Linked DNA regions of Tamandua tetradactyla. Each later gene encodes a partner of the first gene's protein in a complex. Links are inferred from orthologs where the notes say so. Each region holds a gene or a part of one and is shown on either strand. Other genes may lie near its edges.

What was found. The genes of interacting proteins can lie anywhere in the genome.
Region 2: CEP290 (region 1) and TMEM216 share a complex: the UniProt entries of both Homo sapiens proteins name them as parts of the tectonic-like complex. The link is inferred for Tamandua tetradactyla from reciprocal best matches to the Homo sapiens genes CEP290 and TMEM216.

Annotation. Positions count from the first base shown.
Region 1 is NC_135333.1:157,258,596-157,266,099, forward strand, and holds the start of CEP290 (centrosomal protein of 290 kDa), read right to left. Parts: upstream 3,103-7,504; 5' UTR 2,747-3,102; intron 2,211-2,746; exon of another isoform or gene 2,208-2,210; 5' UTR 2,183-2,207; coding exon 2,081-2,182; intron 1,968-2,080; coding exon 1,890-1,967; intron 1-1,889. UniProt on the Homo sapiens protein: Involved in early and late steps in cilia formation. Its association with CCP110 is required for inhibition of primary cilia formation by CCP110.
Region 2 is NC_135335.1:13,744,559-13,752,084, reverse strand, and holds the start of TMEM216 (transmembrane protein 216), read left to right. Parts: upstream 1-4,507; 5' UTR 4,508-5,022; coding exon 5,023-5,125; exon of another isoform or gene 5,126-5,139; intron 5,140-5,201; exon of another isoform or gene 5,202-5,564; intron 5,565-5,685; coding exon 5,686-5,787; intron 5,788-6,323; coding exon 6,324-6,416; intron 6,417-7,526. UniProt on the Homo sapiens protein: Part of the tectonic-like complex which is required for tissue-specific ciliogenesis and may regulate ciliary membrane composition.

The DNA.
Region 1 (7,504 bases):
TCACCTGCACAGCTGGCTTAGAAGAAGAGGGCACATCTGAGCAACAAAAGAGGTTCTCTGGGGGTGACTCTTAGGCATAATTGTAAGTAGGCTTAGCTTCTCCTTTGCAGGCAAAAGTTTCATAGAGGCAAACCCCAAGATCAAGGGCTCAGCCTACTGAATTTGTTGTCCCCACTGCTTGCAAGAATATCAGGAATTCCCCAGATGGGGAAGTTTATTATTTCTTCCTTTCTCTCCAGTCCCTCAAGGGGACTCTGCAAATACTTTTTTATTCTCTGCCCAAATTATTCTGGGATATATCAGGGCATTGCATAACCCCTATACAAACCAGTAAGATCTCATGTCTAAGGCATATTTTTACATCTGTTGATGGTAACTCAAAACTCTTAATGGCTCCTTGTTGTTGTTAGCATAAAATAAGGTCTTAAGATAGCCTATCCCAAACCATTCACCAATGTGCTATATTCTCTACACACTTTCTGCAGCTGTTTCCTTAAATGCAAAGAATAAGCACACTCCTATTTCTTGTCTTTAATTACGGTAATTTCTCAGCTCTAGAATCTCTTTACCATTTTACCATTCCCCATTCACTTATCTAAAACTATTGTCAGACCTGATCCTGCATGAAGTCTTCAAAGTTTTCTCAAACCTCTTAGATCTCTCCTCCTTTTATCTACAACTATAGCAGTTATTGCCTGCATTATTCATTAGGACCTCCGTATATACCAAAACGTATTATTTATTTCTAAATAAACCCATTCTGCTTCCCCTACACATTCTTCTAGGAACTTTAGAGCAGGAACTAGCAATGCTTTGCACACTAAGGGCTCTCTTCAGCCACATTTTTTATTTTTTTTTATTTTTTTTATTTTTTATTTTTATTTTTTTATTAACGGAAAGAAAAAAAAAAAAAGAAATTAACGCAACATTTAGAAATCATACCATTCTACATATGCACTCAGTAATTCTTAACATCATCACATAGATGCATGATCATTGTTTCTTAGTACATTTGCATCGGTTTAGAGGAACTAGCAACACAACAGAAAAAGATATAAAATGTTAATATAAAGAAAAGAAATAAAAGTAGTAGTAATAGTAAAAAACAACAACAACAAACAAACCAACAAGCAAACAAAAACAAAAAAATCCCTATAGCTCAGATGCAGCTTCATTCAGTATTTTAACATGATTACTTTACAATTAGGTATTATTGTGCTGTCCATTTTTGAGTTTTTGTATCTAGTCCTGTTGCACAGTCTGTATCCCTTCAGCTTCAATTACCCATTGTCTTACCCTGTTTCTAACTCCTGCTGAACTCTGTTACCAAGGACATATTTCAAGTTTATTCTCGAATGTCCGTTCATATCAGTGGGACCATACAGTATTTGTCCTTTAGTTTTTGGCTGGATTCACTCAGCATAATATTCTCTAGGTCCATCCATGTTATTACATGGTTCATAAGTTTATCTTGTCTTAAAGCTGCATAATATTCCATCGTATGTATATACCACAGTTTGTTTAGCCACTCTTCTGTTGATGGAGATTTTGGCTGTTTCCATCTCTCTGCAATTGTAAATAACGCTGCTATAAACACTGGTGTGCAAATGCCCGTTTGTGTCTTTGCCCTTAAGTCCTTTGAGTAGATACCTAGCAATGGTATTGCTGGGTCGTATGGCAATTCTATATTCAGCTTTTTGAGGAACCGCCAAACTGCCTTCCACAGTGGTTGCACCCTTTGACATTCCCACCACATTTTAATATATCTCACTTTTTGAGTGTTGATTCAGATTTTACAAAGTACTTAGGCAGAGATTACTTATTTCAGATAAGAAGAGATTCTTAAATGCTTTCTAATAGTTTAATAATAAAATCTACTGCATACAAACCTTCATTAGTGACTGAGTAACTCTGAAAAGATGTATCACATTTTCTTGATTTTCATTTTTTAGTTCATTTACTTCCACCTATGTAAACAAAAAGCAACTATTTAACCAAACTATAAGAACGCTTCCAGTTCTACTACAAAATGATTTCAGGAGCAAAGATTTAATCATGGTTCTATGTATATATTAAGCACCTTGGATAGTGAAATCAATAAATTATCTGCCAATTCTTCTTGACGAGGCAGGTCATCTGGGTCAATTTTCATAATTTCTTTCCAGTTTATATTAGGTGGCATCTTGAATTCTTTCACTGTGCTTTACCTTCTATAATAAAACAAGTGTATATTAGCATTTCCAAGGTAAACAGTCTTGACTCATAACTCTCTGCGGTGTTAGTTATGGCTCCTTAATTGCAAAAGAAGTAAATGGGCAAAATAGCCTAACCAAGAACTGTAGCAGTCGGCCCAAACTGTCAGAAAAAAAAACAGTACCGAATAAATAAAATTCGACGGCTTCCTTGCTAAAAGAATCCAGGTTAGGCCTGAGATTCTGGATCCCCTTCCCGACAAACCCTGTCCTCAACACGCGCGCACATTTAATGGTGCCAAGAGCGGGGACACTTGAAAGGCTTAAAATGACTGACTCGGATAAGCAGCAACTACGGGTAAAAAAAAAAAAGTGCGGAAATAAACATTTGGACTGAGTGAAGTTGGCCTGGGAAACCAGGGCTGGAGCGCGGAAGGCAAGATTGCAGAGAGACTAAAAGCGGCGGAGAAGCGGCGCTGTTAAATACAGGCCCTGTGAGGCTAAAGAACCCGCGTTTCACAACACTCCGACAGCTCTCAGGAAGAGCAACCCACCTAGATCAAAACAGGTAGCCAGCGAAGAACCCTCATCTACCGCACCCACCACGCCTAAGCCAGCCGCCGAGCTCTGACCACACCCCCAGCGCCGTTCCACTCGACGTCTAGGTCCGGCCAACTGGAACCATGCAGAGTAGCGGCGGTGGCTGCTAAGCGACGCCTTTCCCCACCCCGCAGACTCCGGAGCAAGGCCCCGGATGCAAGCAGAGCCTACATTTCACGACTGTGGATTAATGCTTTACGTTTAGATTCCCCGCCTATACGTGCTAAAGAAGAGGAGAAGGCATGCAATTAGGCCTCTAAATCCCAGAGCGCAGTTCTGCGCCGAGTCCTGTGCATGCTGGGAGCTGAAGCCGCTGGGAAAGGGAGGGTGGGTGTTCCCAGCGTGCAGTGCGGGAAGCTGCGCCCGAACCCGGGCAACCTGGATAATACTTAGACGCGGGAGGTACGGGGGCTGAGACGCGTCCACACTGGTGGCCTGAGCGAGTTAGGCCATGACTATGGCTTCAGTGGCCTCACTCGCTGGGCCCTTCTTCCTGCGCTTTCCCTAAGCGGCTATCGCTGTGGTACCTCTACCAGGTGAGGTTCGGCTGTCGGTCAGCGGAGGGAAAGGAATTGAGGGGAAGCTCCACGCACTGCGACCGAAGGGCCTGGCCCTGTTTTGAAGAGCTAGTAAGCGCCACCTTCTCCTCAGGCGTTTGCAAGAGGCGCCAGGGTGGTGCCCTCTGCGAGGAAAAAAGTTTTGTCCTTCTTTGGTATCAGAATCTATCTCCATATTGTGAAGTGGGGCCCGCGCAGCCCAGAGCGTGGTTTGGGGACCAGTGAAGAATTGAAAAGATGTGGTGGTCCTCCGATCTTGTCCGCTTTACCATTGCTCTCGCGGATTTAAGGATTCGATAAGTGCTAGGGTAGAGTGGAAAGAAGAGGTCCCTGCTGGGGGTGGGAGGTGGGTGTTGGAGAGAGAGAAGGGCCGCTAGGTTTGTCAAACCACTTGTTTGATTGCCGAGGGTACCTTCTATGGGAGGGCCTCTTCAGTTATTTACCGCACTTATTCGTGCGAGTTTTGAGCATCCTTCTGCTCCCCGCGATTCTGGAGTATGAGGGATTAGTGCTTGATACAGCACTAGGTAATTTAAGAAGCTGTAGACTTGAAATGTAAAATGACTTCCCAGCTGTGTGTGCCAGTGCGTCTCATCGTTACCATTTTTTTTTCCTTAGCTTTTCTTTCATTATTAATACGATAGTAAATTTTCCTTTTGAAAATAAAAGATTTCTTTTCAAACCACTCGTTTGAGTATTAAAAGTAGCCCAGGTGAAAATAAAAACGTTAACTTTGTGAAATAAATTTTAGAGACATGTGTTGGGTTTGTAGATACTATAATTTAGTCCTTTACTGAAAGATTATATGCCAAATACTGTGCATTATTTCATTTAATCTTCATAAAAATCCAGTGGGATGGGTTCTTAATACTGTACTCATTTTCCAGCTAAGTTAAGAAACTGCATCTTAGAGAGTTTAAGTACTCTGATCAAATCTAAGTAGGATAATTGAACATGGTTCTTTCTTTCTGGAGGACAAGGTCTTAACACCTACTCTAACTTCTCTGGGCACCAGTATTTGTAAAGGGCTGAGTGAATCAACTTTTCTATCTATGTTAAATATATCATATTCTAATTGAGACTTTATTTCGTCTGGACTTCAAATATTCTTCACATTCAATGTTTTTAATTCACAATTTACAGGGAAAGGAAGGGATGAAATTTAGTATTTACTTTGCTTATTACTGCATATTTATTTTTGTAAGAAGAATCTTTTTTATCATAATACCCTGTTTTCTACATAACTTTCATTGTAACTAGCTATTACTTGATATTTATTTTACTGATTTTGTTTTACTGTATTGGTCTTTTTTGTCCTTACCTTCCTTACCTTCTTATTCATATTTATATTACCAGCACGTGAAGGTGCCTGGCCTATGGTAAGTTTTATTCTCATTTTTCAGAAGTTAAAACAAATTCAGAGAAATTAAGTGATTTCCTAATAATTGGTGAAGCTAATATAACCCAGATCTCAATAATAATCCTGACTAAAAGCAAACTCGTGCATAAAATTTCATTCTTTAACCTGTTCTATTTTTGAGCTTGAACACTGTAATAGACACTGGAGATACTTTGTATCTCACTATGTAATTCTGAGGAAAATCGCTAATACTGTCCATTACTTTTCATCACATTTTGTGCATTATTCAGTTTCCACAAAGAGCAGGGATTAATGTGACCTTCTTTCAGAAACACTTGCCTAGACCTGCCTTCTTTTTTCTCTAGGGCTTTATGAACAGTTTTATCTGACCAAAATCTCTTTGCGAGATGGATTTGTCTTTTGTCATTGCTACCTCTGTTCTCTGAAGCAGTCAGCCAGTATTTCTTAGATGTTACTACTGTTCTCTTTTTGCTGCCTTATCATGTAAATAAGTGGTAGCTTACTTTTTCAGTGTCTAAAATAAAGCAGGAAATATATTCACTATGTATGGTTAATACTTTGTTTTTGCCTCATTCTCTTGGAGAGAGGTGTGTACAGCAAGCAGACACTTGTCTTCCTTCAACATGAGAAGACTGGAAAGGATAGTAGACGTCATAGCAGGCCAAACAAACTTACAAACTTTAGAAGTAGAACATAGAACGTTGTTGTTAAAGAAGATGGTACAGTCACCATGGAACCATTGAACTGGGAGGACTTCCCTTCATAGGCTAAATATTTCCAGATTCATTATTGCAGGTTTATTTTTTACACAATTGAACTGTTGGATCATTGGAAAGAGTGAGCACTCAGTACAATTTTGTTGCCAGAATTGTATTATAAGATGTGTTTGTATCTATGATGTAGGTTATAAGTTGTCTTTAGTTGCAGTCTGAAATTACTCTACAGCTCAGGTGAAAAAAAAACAACTGATAGAGCTGCCTTCTGCTGAAGTAGCTTTATGCTAAGAAATACTAGAAAGCTTGAGAAGAAATGTACTACCAATAAAATTTTTAAAAGATATAAATATCATGAAAAGGAATAATCCTGTTATATTTTCTCAGAATACATTAGAAGAAAAAGGAAAATTTTTAAAATGAGACATCAGTGATATAGAATATTGTTCTGAAATATCCAACCTCCTGATAATACATATTTCTAAAAACGAGAACTTAAAAGATAGAACAAAACTAATAAGGTATTTAAAAAAAAAAAACGAGAACTTAGAACAAAACTATTAAGTAAAACATAGGAAACTTGCATAATGAGAAACATTTTAGATTTGTATTTTTAAATATAATTACTGTGTTTTCAGTTGAAGCGTTTTGTTGCCAGGTGAAGGTATTTGGATTTATAATGTTTGTATACTGGCCAATGACACGGAAAAGCCAATCATAGCTGTAATAAAATATATAGTGACATCTCATTTTTGTAATGTAAGCAGATAAACCAAGCGACTCTCCAATCACACTATTTGCATATGTATGGGTATGCTTGTGAACATAGAAAAAAAAACCTCTAAATTCACAAAACAAACAATTGACAGTGATGTATTACATTTTTACAGTGTGACCCCCCAGGGAATCATGCTTCCCTCTATACTTAGTGTAACTAACCCCCCTCCCCTTAGCCTTCCAAACTCTACCTTTGCAGATTGTTCTTTCGGACAGAGACTAAGATGATTCTACATCTGAGCTCCTGAACATGAACTAGAATTAGCACTCCTTTTCTCATATTAAGCTGCCTTGGAGATTTTTTAAAATTCTGTCATTGGCAGTTTTATAACCTCCCCCACATTGATTCTGGATTTAAATTGCTTGGTTGAGAATAACAATGCATTAAGGAAGCAGAGGCCTGAAAGTTCCTGCATTGAAACTTGCCCTGTTGTTTTCCTGAGATCACCATTTAAAGAATCCCAGGCTAATTCCTAGATGATGGGGCCATGAGTAGCAGAGACTAGCCTTCCAGGCTGAGACTTCTACTCTTTAAATTGTTAGCCATAGTTGTTATCAGACAAAAGTGGTGGATTCGTTTGCCAGACGCAATCAGTAACCAATTCCTGAGACACTGGGGTTTCAAAGACAGAATTTATTTCTAGGCATGTAGTAGGTGAGCAGATGGCCTAGAGGCCTAAGATCTGTTTCCCTGAGTTTAGAGGGTTCAGGATTTTTAAGGAGTTTAGTGAGGGGAGATGCAGTCACTTTGGATAACAAGTTTAAAGCAGAAAAGGACACAATGTTATTTCAATAGGAGAACAGAAGTTGAAAGGAGAGAAGGCAGAACTATCACTTCAATACTAAAAGTATAAAAGTGTAAGCCAAAAGAAAGGGATACAAGTTATCTTTAATAGTTGAATCTAGGGAATATGATTTACAAATATCTAGGACTGAAGCTAGTTAATGGCTGACTACAAATTATCCATTAGCATTAGGGTCTTTGCCCTACAAGAAAATGACCAGAAAAAAAGAAGTAACAATTCTTAGTCACAAAGGTACAAGATAAGGGCTTTTTGCAATCATTTCAGATAGGGCAACTGACTTATACTTTAGTGATTTAGATATTCCCCTGTCTACTCCAATATCCCAGAAAGCAAAAAGGAATAGATTCGGTAATCATAATCATCCCTTAAATCCTAATTTCTCAGTTACATAGTCAAGCCACAAAATAACTGTAGCCATGTGAGTGACCCCAGGCAAGTTCAGCAAAAGAACCACTAAGCTGAACCCATGCCAGATTGT
Region 2 (7,526 bases), on another chromosome or scaffold:
ACTTGCGTTTGATATTCAGGTAAGTCCAAACAGTCACGTTCAAGGATTTCTGTCTGGTCAGGCCCTTTCCAAAGAAAGGAGGCCAGGTTCAAGCTATTGTCTACAGTCAAAACCAAGTCATCCTTTTCCATTAAGATTGCCTTGTACTTCAGGATTCAGGAATCAGTCAGCCACCTCCCTGCCTTTTGGGATAAAACAGTCCTGACCTGATGAGGAGTGCTGACCACTAATGCCCCTCCAAAGGTTTGTTTCCTACTTTCTTCTACTAGGAGAGTGGGTGCTGCAGCAGCCTGAATGCACCTGGGCCATCTTCCGGAGACAGGTCCAAAAGTTTAGAAAGGAAGGTTTCGGGTCTCCTTTGGCCTCCCCAGGGTTGGGTTAGTAGCCCTAATGCTGTTCCTTTATCTACTGTAGCAAATAGATGGAGAGGTTTCTCGAGGGAGGGGAGAGTTAGGACAGGAGCCTTCATCAGTGCCCGTCTGAGCCCTTCTGCAGCTCCTACTCCCCCCTCCCTCCACTCTAATTTGTCAGGCTCTTCCTCTAACAGTTTTTGGTATAACCCTTTAGTTGGAGAGGCTGAAGAATCTACCTACAACCTACAGTACACCACTAATCCTAAGAACTTCCTTAGTTCCCTCTTTGTCCAGGGAAGAGGCGATCTAATTATGGCCTGAATTCTCTCTGGATTTACTTTCCTTTTTTCCCTTCACTTACGAGATGGCCTAAGTATTTAACTTCCCTTTTCACAACCTGTAGTTTTATTTTTTGATACCCTTAGTTCTTGGCCCCCCAGGAAGCTCAACAGGTCCCCTGCAGCCTGGGCAATGCCCTAGCTTTTCTTTACCCGATATTAACAGATCATTTACATACTGTAAAAGGGTAATTTCAGATGGGATAGAAAACCTTCCCAACACTTTTTCTAGTTCCTTCCCAAAGAGATTGGGGGACTCTGTGAAGCCCTGGGGTAGGACCATCCACCTATATTGCTGCCTCCTTCTAGTGAAGGGATTTTCCCATTCAAAGGCGAACAAGTCCCTACTCTCTGGGGTAAGAGGGCAGACCCAAAAGGCACCCTTCGGATCTACTACACTGAACCACTTATGATGGTAGGGAATCCATCATAGGAGCATATAAGGGTTAGGGACCACGGGGTGTCTAACCTGAACAATTTGATTGATGGCTCTCAGGTCCTGAACCACCCTCCAGCTACCAGCTGCTTTCTGGGTGGGAAGAACGGGATTACTGAAAGGGGACATTCAGTTTCCCAGAGCCCATCTCGAAGGAGACCTTCGATGACTGGATGATGTCCTTGTCTCCCCTTCAATGGGATGGGAGACTCTTTTTGACAAACCACCTCCCCTTCCTTTTACATTTTAATTTTTATAGAGGAAACGTGCAACTCCCCCACTTCCCTCCCTCACCCATACTTTTTCTTGGATGCCTTTCTTATCTTTCTCGGTAAGCAAGGCTTAAGACAACTTCTACTTGGCCATCCCTCACCTCCAGGTCCAGTCCCATGGGTATTATCAGATCTCTTCCCAATAAATTACTCCCAGCTTCTGAACAGGGAACTTATAATTTGGTTCCCTTCTCAACAGATATTAGTAGGTTTGAAAATGGGGACTTGAAACCTTTCGCCTTTTACTCCCCAAACCGTGACAGAGCTACCAGAGAATTCAATCCCCTTTGGGATGTGGTGCACGGAAGATGGAGCTGCCACAGTGTCTACCAAAAATGTAATTGCTTCTTGAATATAGACCCACCTTCAGATTTACCAAAGTCTCCTGGTGGGCTCTTGAGGCAAGGGGCCTCTGACCTCCCCAATCTTCAAAATTCATCAGGGGTCTCACCCCGACCTTCTTTCTTTAAACTCAACCACTCCCCTTTAACATGTTATCCCACAGTGATACACAGAACTGCTGTGTCCCGGGCCCTCCTCTCTCCTTTATTTCCTCTAGCTCCAACTCTCTATCTTGCCTGTGCCTGTCTCCTCCCTGCTTTATCTCTAATCTCTTCTTGACCATGTGGTCATCATGTGCTTATCATGACTTTAGCTTTCTGCTTATCTTTTGTCTTCCTATCTCACAAATACTTTCTGGGATTCTCCAGATTACTCTTCCAGTGGTTTATCCATCTATTTTCTAGATCTTTTTCTATCAGGCCAAGATCCCTTCACAGCTGACCTTTAATATTCCTCGGGCCACACGACTATTAGGGTCCATTCCTGAGTATTTCTTTGCCTGGTCTCTCAACCTTTGTAGGTAAGCAGAAGGAGTCTCATCATTTTCTTGGGCCACCTCAAAGGCCTTATTTAAGTTCTGAGATTTGGGTATTAACAACTATACCCCTTGTATAATGAGGTCTCTAAGATTTCTCATTTGTACCCTGTCTTCCTCATCATTATTATCCCAGTTGGAATCTACATTAGGGAACTGCTGCTCTGCTGCCATCATCCCTTGTCCAGGTGGGGGCTGCCTCTCTCATTTTTCCATAGATGCCCTCCTCACCTGTGCCCTTTCTTCCCCCATGAGGATGTAAATGCAGACCAGGTGTATAAGCTGGGCCCTAAAAATTGATCCAGTTGTTCACCTAGCCCTACTGGATCATCCAGTAACGATTTCATTTCTTTTCTTAAAGTTCCTCATTTCTGTACTGGTCAAGGGGACACTGACATAACCAGTTTCCCCTGGTCCAATAGGAACTTCTCTAAGAGGGAATATCGACTTATAAGGCCTATGCTACCTCACCCTTTTACCCTCAGGAGCCCTCGGAAATGGAAAATTCCATCTTTCTTACGTTGTTCCACCTCCTTCCTCAATGGTTGGTGGACTGTCACAGGTGGAACAGTTGGCCCTGATTGCCCCTCCCGCTCCCTGAGGCAGGTGGGGGTGGGGAATGCATGTTAGTCTTCTTGGGCCTTCAGGGTCCAACAGTCCCTGTCCTGGGGGAGGAGCACAGGGCAGGAAAGACTCAATAAAGGATCCCAGGCTTTAGCTTCTAAAGATTTAGCCTCTGACTCTGCTACCTTTACAGGATAAAGAGGACTCTCCCTTCCCTTTAGCCAACACTTGGCATAATCCGAGTCATCTTTCGAGAAAGGGTTCTTATTAGCATAAAGCACGAGGTTTGTACAAATCCAACCCTCATCTGCCCCGTATTTTGGCCAGAATATATCGGACAGCACAACGCTTTCTTTGGTCATAATATAACAACAATATTTAACCATTTCCTTTTTGTCCTTCCCCTTTGTTCCATAATTATCAGCCCAATATTTTAACATTCTCCCTAATGGACTGTCCAGGGGAATGTCCCCTGAACGTCTACCAGCACCCCCTCCCTTTCTTCTCCAGGTAAGCCGCCTGCCTCTATTCCCCATCCTGTGTCTTGCCAAGGTCCCTTTCTCTCATCCCTGTTTCACTTTCACCGTCTCCAGCCCCCTTTTCCTCACGGTGGTTTGGGACCCGGCACATGTTTGGGCGTCTCAGATACACACACACACACACACACACACACATACACACACACACACTCCACCTCAGACTCATCAGGATCCTTCCTGACCACCCAGGCAATACTTAACAGCCGATTTCTTACCTTGGTCCGTGCACAGAGTTGCTTGCTTACTGTGAGGCAGCCCCTCCTCTTTCTCGTTCACAGTCGGTGGCTCGAAGCATCCCGGCTGTCGGCAGCTGGCCCCCAGTGACAGAGTTTAAGACCGCTCAATCAGCGGGGTGCGCCTTCCCTTCCTCCTGGGGGTGGGTGGGTGCTCCTGCGAAGCCTGGGATCCCGGAAGGGCCCCCAAAGTTGTCAGAACGAACGCCGTACCTGAAGGAGAACAAACGCTCATCCGATTGCGGAGGAGAAGACAATTTATTCACCATCTTGCAAGAACGGGCGCCTAGAGGAACACACAAGGGGGGCTGGAGCCAAACCACAGAAGCTGAAAGTTATTCCTGTGCCGGACCCGCAGTCCCTCCCGTTTCTCGGCTGATCGGCTACCCCAGAGGTTACAGCCTATCCGGATAATCTAACTACTGTGAACTTCCCGCCGCAGGTTCCCCCTTTGTTTACGTTTTACCTTTTCAATGACCCTGGCCATTAAGGATTCGGCCTTGCGTCAGAAGCCCTCCCCTTTCCCTGCCTGCGTCACCTTTGTGAGAGCTAAGCTTAGTTTGATTCTCACAGGTTGGAGCAAATCAGAGCCTGCGAGGTGGAGGAGAGGAGTACAGGGCTGCATACTGCACCACCCACCCTCCAAACTGTCACAGCTCTTCTGGGCAGGCCTGCTTCTTACACATTACTCTCTCCAGGCTTCCAAGGCCCCCTTCCCTTTAAGCCCTGGAGAAATAACAATTACTGCCTCTTTTCACCCAGGGATCAACAGCAGCTCCCCACCCCCACCCCCGCCCCTACACACACACACACACACACACACACACACACACACCAGCCAGGACTCCAGTACTGTTCCTTGAAGATTAGCCACTCTCTTCAAATCGCTGTTTCGACTCTGCCATGTGTCCTCAAGGACCCTGACAACGGAGTCACAGTCAAGTCAGCCTGCGTCCGCTCAAAGCTCTTTCTCTTTCCACTCCCCTGCCCCAAATCGGAACCAGGCTTCAAAACCCAAGAAGCTCTCCTTCCGATTCCTTTCAGTGTCCCTGACTACCTGGTACGTAAACGTGCCGCACAAAAGACCAAGGCTAAACCCCAGCAGGCGTTTGCTGAGCAGCATGGGGCACCCCGACTCCGTCCCCGGGCGGTTGTTAGGAAAGAGAACCGCGGGGCTAGGATCTGTCTGCCAATTCTCTGGATCCATTGTCACAACTGGCCCCTCCTGCCCAAAGCGCAGCAACGCAGGGCGACAGCGTCGCGGGAGGCCAATGCTCGCCAGCCCCCACGAACTGCGCTCTCTGCCAGCAGCACCTGCAGCCACGGCTCCTCCCGGCGCACGCGCAGACGGCACCCAGGGCGGCTCCGCCCGGGGCAGCCATAGAGTACGGCGAGCGGGCAGAAAGGCCAATGCGGGCCGCTCCATCCTCCGCTTCCCGCGGCGCCTCGCTGCTCCCGGAGCGGAGACTGCCGCGTATGCAGTTTCCATGGGGACGGAAGATGGCGCCGCGAGGTGAGGTTCCGGAGGTGTGTGAGTCGCTGGCCCCCCGTCTCCCCCCACTCCGACCTCCCTTCTCTCCCAGAGCTCGACCTAAACACTCCGCTGTCAGGTGGTGAAGACATTGCTCCTCACATGTCCAAAGCGGGGTTTTGTAGCCTCACCCACCTTGAGAGCCCGAAGGTCTCGAGGTGCGGTCTCAGACACCCCCAAATCCTTGGCTGGCTTTGTTCCAGGCCGGCTCGGTTAGGAATGCGCCGCGTGACCTTGAACAGGCCAGTGTCGAATAGTGATGGGATGAGATCTTAGCGGCGCCTGTCGGCTGGGATACCCTCTGAGCTTCCTCTTGGCTTTCACCTCCGAACCCGAAAGACAGAGTTGGGTTTGGCGGTTGATTCCGAGGAGAAATGGGGAGGGAAGGAAGACCCCTCACAACCCAACAGCCTTTCCCCCCAGCAGCGACCTCGGGTTTTCCCAAGTTAGACACCGAACGGTGCAGGGAAAGGAGATTGAACTCCCCCCACACCCCCCCCCCCCCCCCCGCCCAACCCTTTTGTCTGTGTCCATCTTTTCAGGTAAACGGTTGTCCTCCACGCCCCTGGAAATCCTGTTTTTTCTGAACGGGTGGTATTATGCTACCTATTTCCTGCTGGAACTCTTCATATTTCTCTATAAAGGTAAGGCTTGGGGCTTGACTAACCGTGCTCCAATATCCCTTCCCCACTTCACCCCAGAGCCTATTTCCATTCTTTTCTGCCTCTTGTAGCTTCTCTTCACTGCAAGGCAGAAGTCTCTTCATTAGATAGTTTCCTGGAGAATAAGTAGGAAGACTCTCAGTAAGAATTTCTTGAGTTTAGGAAATGAATTAGTCTCCATTTTGACTCGCCCATCACTTTTCTTTGTTCAATTCAGTCTAAGGCCATTGGTGACCCTCAGAAACTATTTAGTGGCCTGTGTGCCTACGTTTGTCAGATCATGTGGATGTGTCCACAGGTTTTTGGAATTAAGAATAAAACCCCATAATAATGGGCCTCCCTCTAACAAACATAGTCACACTATGAGTTAACTTATCCCACAGCTGTAATAGCGTCTACATTCTCACTAACTAGTTTTTGGAAAGCTGATAAGACTCATCTCTTTCTTCCCAAGTGTGTGGGAGTCCTTGTGGGTGCTGTTATGTGTTGTTTGCAAACCATGTCTTTCTTATTGGCAGGTCTCCTATTGCCATATCCAACAGCCAACCTCATACTGGATGTGGTGATGCTTTTCCTTTATCTTGGAATTGAAGTCATTCGACTCTTTTTTGGTGAGTATTATTCAGAGAATATTTCCATTCTTTATGAGATAAGTTGGTATCTGTAACTTGATTAACAAGAAAAAGTACATAACCCAGGCTCACAATCAGATTCGATTTGTGGGATATGCCCTTACTGCTTCTGAAGTTTCAAGCTGCCTTATATTTTGGATCAAGATTTGCCTGTCTGTTGCTCTGTAAGGGCTAGTGGTGGGCAGCAGTATGGGAGCTTAGATAATTCCTTCCCAGCTGCCTAACTGCTCTAAGAGTTCCGGGTTCCTCTGAATGGTTTGCTTTGGGAGACTGGTTTTCACTGTAACTCTGAGTCCAGGCAGTAGATGCCTTCACAGATCAGCACTCAATAAGATCCCCTCTACTTCTCTGAATAAGGATCTCTTTAGGGTAAGTTTTTTTTTGTTTTTTTGTCTTTTTGTTCCTGACATTTTATTCAGCATACTGTCCTTAAGGGTCATCCACTTAGTTGTCCACCTCAGAACCATAGCTCCCCCTTCCATTCCTCAGTATTTTTACCCTTAGGCCACCTCCATCCATTGCGAATCGCCAACACTCCGCCATAAACACCAGTAAATGTCCATTTGTGTCCACACTCTCAGTTCCTCCTGTCAACGGGGTTGCAAGATCATATGGCAACCCCACCTCTTTAGGACACGTTTTTATATCCCCAGAAATACTGAGAAAGTCCCTTTTTAGTTAGAATATCCCATCTCTGAATACGATGCCAAATCACAGATTGAGAAAAAAATACTTGCAACACATAGGACAAACAAGATAAAAAAGGCTCATATAAATTATTAAGGAAAAGAATTTAATAATAAAAAGCAAACTAAAACAACAAAGTAACATTTTCACTCATAGATTGGTAAAGATTAAATTATGATACCCAGTATTAGAGAAGGTGTGGGGAACAGGTATTTTTATATACTCTAGGTGGATATGATATGTAAAATTCATATCCTTAGACCCAACAATTTCACTTTCAAAACTGATTAAAAAAATTTCCATAAATCTATGGAAATATTTTAATCTATACAGGAGTGTTTATTGCCTCATGCTCTGTAACATTAAGCGTTAGAAGCAGTATAAAGGCCCATCAATACAAGA